Linked DNA regions of Caenorhabditis elegans. The protein of the gene in region 1 interacts with the protein of each later gene in a biochemical or structural test. Each region holds a gene or a part of one and is shown on either strand. Other genes may lie near its edges. The genes, in order: npr-22 and lury-1.

Region 1 (6,484 bases):
TATCTTTTTTTCTTTTTTGAAGGTGGATGTGGAGAAGTTGTCAAAAACCATTCCTATGATGCCAAAATGTTCAAATACAACTTTTCAAAATAAAAAGTGTGAAAATTTTTATTGACAGTTTAAAAGTGGCAATTACTGAGTTTTTGCCACTTTTTGCCATAGACGACTTCCAAAAAGCGAAGACTTTTCCAAAGTTTTGAAGCTTACTTGACATGAATGTTTTCTTATTTTCAGTCAACTTTATCTTGTTTTTTTCACAACATCGCACTACATCCAGACACATTTCTGTTGACTCAATATTAATTATTTATTATTTATTATTCATTTTGCAAGGATGTGGTGTTCTTATTCCTATTTTTATATACTTCTCCTTTTTCTTTCAGAAATTCTAGAAATTATTTTTATGCTAATTGAGATGTACATTTGAGACATTTTCATGCCGTGATGACGTAATCTATCTGAATCTTGAGATATCTATGTACATTCTTGCTAATAACGTGAAAGGTGTCATATGTACTGAGGTCTACCTTATCATTTCCTGATTATAACATCATTGAAACATATTTTAGACATATTTTAATAAATTTCAGTTTTTTTTTGTCCTATCTGGTCAATAGTTTTTTCTACAAAAAAATAGACAAATAAGAATTAAATTCAGCTAAAATTATTGAGATATAGTGTTGAAGAATACGATAAAACGACGGTAATCTTTCATTCGATTAAATTCTAGAAACCAATCGCGTATCCAAAATCTTAAATTTTTATAATTAACAGTTAGCTAGAGTTTCTTTATTGGAACATACAATTAGCACAATACAATTGGAAAACTTCGGTTTAAAGAATCTGTAACAATTTTCTTTTACTTGATTTTGTTCAAGTTTCTCAAGTTTTAGCACGTGCTCTAACCCTGCAATAAAAGTTTGTACTTTATTCAAGTATTCATATTGTACTTGTACTCTATCGTATGATCATATTACTCATGTCTAAAACTTCGGTAGACACGCATTTTTCCAACATTTTTCTTCCATAAATTCCTGTTATCTTGCAAAGTTCATTTGTAAACTAATACAACACATGTCTGGCTGATTTGACCTTTCTCATTGAAATTGATGGATCATGTGTCAAAATGGGACCACTACAGATCACTAGATACTACTATCACTATATCACTATTTAAACATGGCAGATTTCAAGAAAGTTTGCCACATTTTCAGATGAAATCATCTTATTAATTTTGATTTCGAAAACAGATATTAGCAGCCTACCTTCTGGATTTTTCGGTTACAATGTACCTATTTATTAATCAAAAACTATCACTTCTGCATTTTGTAATCATTCCCCAATCATCCTTGTGCGAAAAATAGGATAGTTCTTCAAGTTTTTCCCTTCCCTATACTTTTGCCATATATTTTTTTAATTCCCACTGGACTTTCCCAAAAGAATTATTTTTCGAATATACCACACTTTTAACAAATTTTCTGGATTCGGAAACATTATATTTTTTTTTCTACAAAACCGCAAAGACTATAGTCATTTTTCGAGGTCAACAAACATCCAAATATCATTGCGAGCATCCTATGTTCCTCTAATTCTCTCATACTTTGCTTCCGAAAACCCAAGAATCACAAAAAAATCTTGTTTGATCTTTGCCTTATTTTTCCAACTGCTAATTGACCTTCTTCGTTTATATAATTTTTCACTTTATAGAAATTTACTTTTTAATCAATTTCAAACAACAAAATTTGATACACTTTCTTAATATTATCCTTCTCCTACATTCTCATAAATTTGAAGGTTTCTCTTTCAACATTTCTGATCTAAAAAATGTGCGAGAAAATACATTCTTGGTTTCTTCATATTCATTTATTTCTCCGAAATATGTTCTCTTTTTCTTTGTTTTTAATTTTCGGTTTTCTATGAACAAGTGGTCTTCCTTATTTGGAACACTTCCCCAAACTCTTTCCGAATAAATTGTTTTAAATTTCAGATCGAACGATTCGTCATCTAATTCGTGAGCAAATATGGACGAAGGAGGGGGTATTGGAAGCAGTTTGCTCTCCAGAATCACGACGACAGCCTCTGAAATTATGATGCGAAACGAACCGACGACAACTGAAAATCCAGCTGTTCAAGAAATGAATCATATTTATCATTTGACACCAAGTATGAAGGTGAGACTTTTAAAAAATATTCTTATACATTCAAAGTATATCTAAAAATCCAAATTTTACAAGAGTTTTGAAACTTTGAAAAAAGGAACTAAAATTAGTTTTTTTTACATTTCATATTTAGGCAATTTGGCCATGTTTTTAGCCAATTTTACCTGCTGAAAATTGATTTTAACGTGCCATGTACTTTTATTTTAGTTAATTTATGATAGCGTTTTCTTCAAAACTTGAACCGTAAATAAAAAGTTTTGAAAATTTTTCAAGTGCTATCATTATTAAAATTCGGTATAATTTTTAGAGGCCATTTTAAGTGTAAAAAATGAATAAAATTACTACATTATTACCTTTAATATTTGTACCTATTTATTACTAATTTTTTACAGATGTTATGTATTCTTTTCTATAGTATACTTTGCGTATGCTGTGTCTATGGAAATGTGCTCGTTATTCTGGTTATTGTTTATTTTAAACGACTTCGAACGGCGACTAATATTTTGATATTGAACTTGGCAGTTGGTGGGTTTTGTTACTTTTGAATTTTTGAAAACTTTTTATAATTTTTCAAATCTCCAGAACTTATATGAGCTTCTAAATGGATAAGTTTAAAAAATTAATTAATCTAAGATGTTGAGCAAATTTCCCAAAAAAACAACTAAAATTGCAGCTGATCTTCTCATATCAGTATTCTGCATTCCGTTCAGCTATTGGCAAGTATTGATTTATGATGATCAACGTTGGCTCTTCGGCTCAATGATGTGCTCTTTATTAGCATTCCTTCAAGCAATGGCTGTATTTTTATCAGCTTGGACACTTGTCGTTATCAGTTTTGATCGGTGGATGGCTATAATGTTCCTTTTAACTCCAAATATTCGAATTACAAGACGAAGAGCTCTTTATCTGGTAGCTGCCACGTGGATATTCAGTATCCTAATGGCGTTGCCGTTACTCTTCACAACGAGATTTTTCGAAGACCAAGACGGTTTACCGAATTGTGGAGAAAATTGGACGTATTTTGGAGATTCTGGAGAACAAGTGAGAAAAGTGTATTCTTCAATGGTCTTAATTCTACAATATGTTGTACCTCAAGCAGTTTTAATAATAACTTACACACATATTGGAATTAAAATGTGGAATAGTCGAGTACCAGGAATGCAGAATGGAGCAACAAAGAAAATGATCGTTGATCGACATGAAAGTGTCAAAAAGGTGAGATTTCTGGAATTATTAAAAATTTAAGCCTAACCTTTCAAAAACTCCCAGTTTTGATTTATTAGAATAATAAGAATATGGAAATAATGCAACAATCAATGGCTCCTCAGTGCGGTGATGATAATAATAACCATAATCAAAGTCAACCGACCCCTATATTTATAGGAACAATATTCTCATGTGTAGCATAAAAATAATAATCAAAAATCGTTTTTGACATAACCTTTTCCAAATCATTATTAAGTGAAACTTTAAAATTGAAAAAAATTAAATCAAAGTTCGAAGTTATTACATTTTACCTGCCTATTACATGACGGTTTGATAAAGTTGTTCAGTAGATTGAAATATCGTTTTTACTTATTTTTATCAAATACAATAAATATTACCGCGTGAGAAACGAAACCTGTTAATTAAATAAGATTTTTAGCTGGTCCCAATGGTGATTCTCATTTCGGCACTCTTCGCACTTTGTTGGCTTCCTTTACTTATACTGATCAACGTCATTCCAGAATTCTATCCAGATATCAACAGTTGGGGATATATTCTGTATTTGTGGTAAGAAATATTCTTTTAATCTGACTCAATAATTTGGTTTTAAAAATCGCATTTTGAGGTGGTTTGCTCATGGACTTGCCATGTCTCATTCAATGGTCAACCCAATTATCTATTTCATTCGAAATGCCCGTTTCCGTGAAGGATTCTGTTTCTTCTCTTCAAAACTTCTTCCATGTATATCATTTAAAGAACTTCGTCTTTTAACTGATAATACTAGCAGAAGGTATGTCAATTTCTACAAAGTTGTCTGTTTTTGAATTGAAGCCAAGAGTTAGGAGCAATTCAGTTTATTTATGTATCAACCTTATTTGTTGATAACCAGTTTGATAATTTTAATAACTCAACAATATCATTCAGTTTTCGAAACCGTTCACGGTTTTCTGGTGTCATAAATCCGACTTCAAGCGATGAAAAACCTGCTGTAAGGATGTTCTCTAACCCATGTTTTTTGTCCTTCTTGACTTTTTGTTTGGCTTGGCTTTTTTATTTTTACATTTTAAAGTTTATTTTGCACTGCTTCACATGCACTAATATGTTGATTAAGTTAATTTCATTTTAAATTATGAGTATATCGTATTTCCTCTTTTAGTATTGCACACCATTGTTCAACTTTGACAGTGTATATCTCAGTTATCATTTGTTCCATTTAAAAATTGTCAACTAACAAAATATTTTTTAGTTCTTTTTCTATAATTTCGTAGTTAAAGATATAATGATATATTCAAAATAAACCGATATATAACGTTACAAAGTAAAGTTGTCCGGTGCATTACTAAGAGAGGAAATACGGTACGTTAAATTAGCAAAATTAAAAATCTTCTAAGTCAGCCTAGGTCGTTCAGCGCAGTTAATTTGCGATGGACCCATCAGAATCCTAGAGCAGTGATTTATCTACACATCGTCAAAAAAATCGGACATTGCGCATACTGCGACTCGTAAGCTGCCTATAATGAGCACATTGAGCCAGGATTGCTATGAAATCATTGTGCTTGTTTACTGAGTCATTATGTGCCTGTCGCGAATTAACTGCGAACTAAATTTTGCCACCAAATGATAGAGGGAAAACCCCTACTACTGAGAAAGTGTTTGCCGATGAAGTTTAGCGAAACCTAGAACCATAAGAACTTGTAAGTAAAACTTTAAAAACAGTTTTTAAATTCAAATGCTTTACTTCTAAACCCTTTTTATTAATTAAACGCCTCAATTATATCCACTGCCTAGTACACATTTTCCAATCTGATTATTTCCACAACATCGACTTTCTTCCTAGCCACAACCTAATTTTCAATATTTTCAGACATCGCTTACGAGATATTCACGAAGTGGAGTCCTTGACAGGCAAACATGTCGTTCGGCACGTTTCTTCGAAGCCCGACCACTCGTCGTCGTCCGAAACAACTCTGCCAATTCTCTCGCGTAGCTTTTCCCGTATCATTAAGAAAATTGATCTACCATGTACTTGAGTGGAAAGCTATAGAAGACCATAGATTCAAGGTTTTTGTTATTTGAAATTGTATTTTAAAGCATAATTTCACAAATTATGTTTATATTCCATCCATTTTATTGTATTGTAAGAAAAAACCCCTCAGATCTCCTAAGAAACAATTTTATATGAAACATCAATTGTTGTCTGAAACGCTTTTCATACCGGTAAATACTCGCCCCACCAAATCCACGAATCATCACCAATATTTTAAACTTGTACCATACAAATTGCGTGTTTTCATTTTATTTGAATATTTTTTCAAAACTAAATGTAGAAATAAATGTTAGAATACTACAAATTTACATCTGACAGATTTAAAAGAATCCAATGAGTTGACTGAAATTTTGTAAACTGGCAAATTACTGAGCAATTCAGATAAATATTTGATTGATTTCGGTTTCAAGCTTGTAGTTCCACGTGTGAAGGTTTATTTACAGAGATTCGGCATTTGTCTATTTTTAGAAGGGATGCATTTTCCGTGAATTGTATGCAAGTATTTTATTAAAGAAAAATGAAATAAGCAGTCTTGATAGGCAGACACTTATATTTAAAGTATATAGTCACTCCAGAAAACAGACAAGAAAACAATCAAAGTGAACAATTTTTATGCATTTTCATTCAATCTTTATTCTTCAATTTTCTCATACACTTCACAAAAGTAAAGCATATGAAAACCAAAAAACACAAAACACCGTCAGCGACTTGTTGTATGCAGAAATAAATCAGAAATGATTGTCACTTATCCCTTTGTGTTGAGATGTTGTGGCGCCTTGTAAGCCAACTCGTGGACTCCTCCATTGTACAGCTTGGCAACGATTCCGGAACGAGCAGCCGCGAGCCAAATAGCTGAAGCTGAGAGTCCGATTCCGCAACCAATGACAACGGTGTCTCCGACTTTGATTCCCTTGGCGGCGAAGGCTGGAAGTATTCAGTTAACTTCTGCAAATGATATCAACTAACCTTGATCACAATCAGTCTTCTTCTTGAATCCCTTGGCAGCACAAACTTCTCCGATTGGGAAGTGAATCGCATCCTTGCAACGAACACCTTCGGCTTTCGAGTCTGG
Region 2 (4,213 bases), on another chromosome or scaffold:
AGACCCCATCTCAAACCTGAAAAAAATAAGAATTGAATTGCTAATTTTGACGATTCAATGATGAACTCTCATTCATTTACTTATTTTCGTTTATTACTTCTTAATTTTCATTTCATTAAGTAATCCGTTTAGGGCAAATTATAGGAACTTTTTAGGGCTTCCCTGTAGGCGTTAAAACGCCTGCCTGCCTGGCCTTAAGGCGACCTCTGCCTGCCTCGCGACTCAATCCGCGCCTTATGCTCTTAATTTGATTTTCATCAAATGATAGAAATGAGAAAATTAGAAATTTGTAAATTCATGTAAAAATGCGTAAGAGGAGAGGCGAATGACCGGGGTGAGAAAGGCAGGATTCAGGCAGGCCCTGAAACCGCGCTTGCCTACCATGAAAGCCCTAGTGTGCCCACACTATGCGCACATCACAGATTGATTAACTGTGTACCATAGTTTTGAAATTATTTTCGTCCAATGCAGAGCTTATTATTGTTTGTTGTCATTTCCAGAATTGCGTGCCAACAACCCTGAGAAAATTAAAAATAACGAATTTCTCTGAATTCTGAATAATCTGAATTTCTGAACCCTTATTTCATATTTTCTCCCCAAAAAATAAAATTTTCACATGTCACAACACCAAATCTTCACCGGAAAATAACCATTTCAAACGCTGCTTTTTCGTTCCTTTTTACGTTTAATGAAATCCGAGACCATTTTTCCCACAATTCTCTTTTTGAAATGGCACTAAATTCAACGCCAACGCCCTATGTTTAATTAAGCTAAGAAAAAGGTATCAAATTTAAGAGAAGGAGGGGTTCTTGATTTACAAGATTAAGGTTTAAAAATAAAGATTTTCGGCTCATTTGATTATGTTTTTGTGGTGCGGTTTTATGGAGTGGAAAATTATCTTGATTTTGACTTTTTTTGGAAATTTTCTGTATTTTCTCGGATATGCTCTTTTTTCTTTTTTATTTTATTTTGAATTTCATTGATCACTTTTTAAATTGTTCAAAAATATAAAAAAATAATGGAATTGGTTCCCTGAAATATTAGATTTTGTCAACAAAAAATATACCAATTTCAAAAAAAGTTCCAATATATTTTTCTTACTTCTAGAAATTTTTAAGACTATCAAAAATTACGTATCCTAATAGTAGTGAAATTTTGTAATTTCAGCTCGAAATTGTGCTCCAGACCTGCTAAATTTTCTGTAGTAACCTATTTTGAAAATCCTCTTTCAAAGTGATTCCAATCAAAATTTGAAAAAAATATACAAAACTAGTGCTTCCCTGGTAGGCAGGCGCGGTTTCAGGGCCTGCCTGACACCTGCCCGCCTCACGGCGACCTTTCGGCTCTTGTTTTCCCTTTTTGACGTGATTTTACAAATTTCTAATTTTCGCATTTTTATCAATTTGATGAAAATCAAGTTAAGAGCATAAGGCGCGGATTGAGGCGGGAGGCAGGCGGAGGTAGGCAGACGGGCAGGCAGGCAGGCGCCTACATTAATGCACTAATTTACGATTAAACCAATTTTTCAAATTTCTCCAAACAAGCCCCGCACATTTTATGAATTTACCAATTATACATATTTCAAATTTTTTCGAAAACTAATTCCCAAGACTAGGTCTTCCATGGTAGGCAGGCGCGGTTTCAAACGCCTGCCTGAAATCTGCCTGGCCTTTCGCCTCTTTTTTGCATTTTGACGTGATTTTACAAATTTCCAATTTTCTCATTTCTATCAATTTGATAAAAATCAAATTAAGGCGCGGATTGAGGCGAGAGGCAGGCGAAGGTCGCCTTAAGGTTAAGTAGGCAGGCGTTTTATCGCCTACATGGAAGAAAAAATTTTCGAGATTTTGTGACAAAAACCGTGAATTTTGGCAGTTTTCGAATTATAATTATCGAAAAAAAACATTTCAAAATCTTCATATTTTTATGATTTCTAGAGAAAAAAAAGTTACTTAATTTAATTTTTCCACAAAAAATTCACACGGTCACACTCTTTTTGCTCTCATGACTTTACAATGACGTATTCCAAAAGCTTCTCAAAATCATCAAAAAATCCACCCGATTATTCCAGAAAATCCAATCATGCTCACAAGGGTCCCTGTCCTCATTTTGGCTGTCATTGTGATGTTGGCATTGTGCCAAGAGCCTGAGAAACCTGAGAAACGGCCGGCGTTGCTGTCCCGATACGGACGAGCTGTTCTTCCACGTTATGGAAAAAGGTCGGGCAATTTGATGGAATCGAGTCAGAATTCTTTGACAGGTAGGGGGATTAAAAAAATTTTTTTTTTTTGCATTTTGGCAAGTCTATAGAACATTTTGGACTAAAATTTATTTTTTTAGAAAAAATAAAAGTTACTTATAAAACTAGCACTTATAAAATGTATTTTTTGTAATTTTTCTTGAAAGTTTAAAATTGCCGGAAAACTCCAAAAAAATTGGGGTAGCTAAATTAACAAATTTTGAAATTTCTTCGCAAAATTTTGACCGTTTTTAAAAACTTTTATAACATTTATATTCGGTTATTACAACCCATTTTCTATAATTTAAAGTAAAAACAAACTTTTGGTAATTTGCCAATATTTTGGTAAATTGCCAAACTTTTTGGTAACTTGCCCAATTTTTTAAAATATATTTTCAAACTTTTTGGAAAATGCCAAATTTTTGGTATATTGGCAAATTTATTTTAGATTGCCCTACGTTTGGCGAATTGCCAAATTTTTGATAAAATGCCAAAAATTTGGCAAACTACTACATTTATTATAAATTGCCAACTTTTTGAAAAATTGGAAAATTTATGATGAATTGCTAAACTTTTGGTAAATTGCCAAGTTTTTGGCAATTTACCAAAAGTTTGGCAATTGTTGCCCAATTTTTAGTAAAGTACCAAATTTCTGGTAAATCGGCAAATTTATTATATATTGCTAAAATTTTGGTAAAATTCCAAATATTTGGAAAATTGCCACTATGTTGGTAGTTTGCGAAATTTTGAGTAAATTTCCAATTTTTTTCTAATTTATAAAAATTTTGGTAAATTGGCAAATTATTAGTAAGTTGCCACTTTTTTGGAAAATGCCAAATTTTTGGTAAATTGGCATATTTATTTTAGATTGCCCTACGTTTGGCGAATTGCCCAATTAATTCTAAATTGCCAATATTTTTGTAAATTACCAAATTTATTATAAATTGCTACTATTTTGTGAATTGCCAAATTTTTTATCCGACTTTTTCCATTTCAAATTATTCCAGAAGAATCATCGGACGTGGTTTGCCAATTAATCGATGGAAAATACATTTGTCTTCCAGTTGATGCTGTCAGATTCCGACCGTTCTTTTTGTGAAACCTCTCTGAAAATATTGTATTGTTTCTCTGCGTCTCTATGTCGTTCAACCATCTCTTTGCTTTCTCTCTCATTCAAATCCAAAAGAAATTAGAATAAATTTGTTTGTGGTGTTATTCTGGACATCAAGCTTGTCTAGAAGAGATTGTTTGTCTCAAGCCTTTTGGGAGGGCAAATATTCTTTAATTTACATTCATTTATGTATACGGCATTTTAATAAAGTCTGTGTCTGATGAATAACTGATAGGACGGCGGAAAGTTCCAATTTTGGTGCATTATTGCGACCTCAATATTATACCAGTAAATGTACAAATTGTAGAAACCCAGTGTCTGAAAAATTTTAAACAGATGAAATTTATGCCACTCAAAAAAACATTTTCAATAAGTCTCTACAAAAATTTTGCAGTCTAGGAAAACTTTTAACTAGATTTTTTAAAAATTAAATTTTTGGAAAAATCTGAAATTGTTCAGACAAAATTTTTTTTACAGGGTTTTCTTGGAGAGGTTAATGGTTCAATTAAACAGTGAGTAAACGTTAAATTTGTGTTTTAATGTGTGTTTTTTTTTCTTGAAACTCACTATTAAGGACTTTGCAAAATTTCGAAAAAAATATTTTCACGGAATATCGGTTTCTAAAATATTTTTGTAACTTGGGTAATTTACCAATTACAAACTATTACAAACCAAGTAGCTGCGTGCAAAAAACTAAACAATTTTGATACATTTCAAAGGACAGTTTTTCGAAATTTTTTTAGTTGAGCTAGCCCTGCATATTGGCATTAATTTTTGATAAAGTTGTTGACTCCAAACATGATAAGAAATGTCATTAGATAAGATTTTTGAAAAAACTGAATAAATTCAAATGAAAAAATATG

Evidence for each region.
Region 2: the proteins of npr-22 (region 1) and lury-1 interact in a test that uses a peptide from one of them, tested with the Caenorhabditis elegans proteins (one large-scale study listed by BioGRID).

The regions. Positions count from the first base shown.
Region 1 is NC_003282.8:8,557,447-8,563,930, forward strand, and holds npr-22 (Neuropeptide receptor 22), read left to right. Parts: upstream 1-1,985; 5' UTR 1,986-2,021; coding exon 2,022-2,171; intron 2,172-2,551; coding exon 2,552-2,684; intron 2,685-2,832; coding exon 2,833-3,374; intron 3,375-3,804; coding exon 3,805-3,932; intron 3,933-3,990; coding exon 3,991-4,155; intron 4,156-4,289; coding exon 4,290-4,353; intron 4,354-5,229; coding exon 5,230-5,352; coding exon of another isoform or gene 5,353-5,395; 3' UTR 5,396-5,715; downstream 5,716-6,484. Other genes in the region: mpst-6 (thiosulfate sulfurtransferase), read right to left, coding at 6,158-6,336, 6,379-6,484. UniProt on the Caenorhabditis elegans protein: Receptor for the LURY-1-1 and LURY-1-2 peptides which control food-related processes including feeding, lifespan, egg-laying and roaming behavior. Receptor for flp-7 which stimulates serotonin-induced fat loss.
Region 2 is NC_003281.10:12,184,342-12,188,554, forward strand, and holds lury-1 (LURY-1-2), read left to right. Parts: upstream 1-2,069; 5' UTR 2,070-2,082; coding exon 2,083-2,260; intron 2,261-3,246; coding exon 3,247-3,338; 3' UTR 3,339-3,575; downstream 3,576-4,213.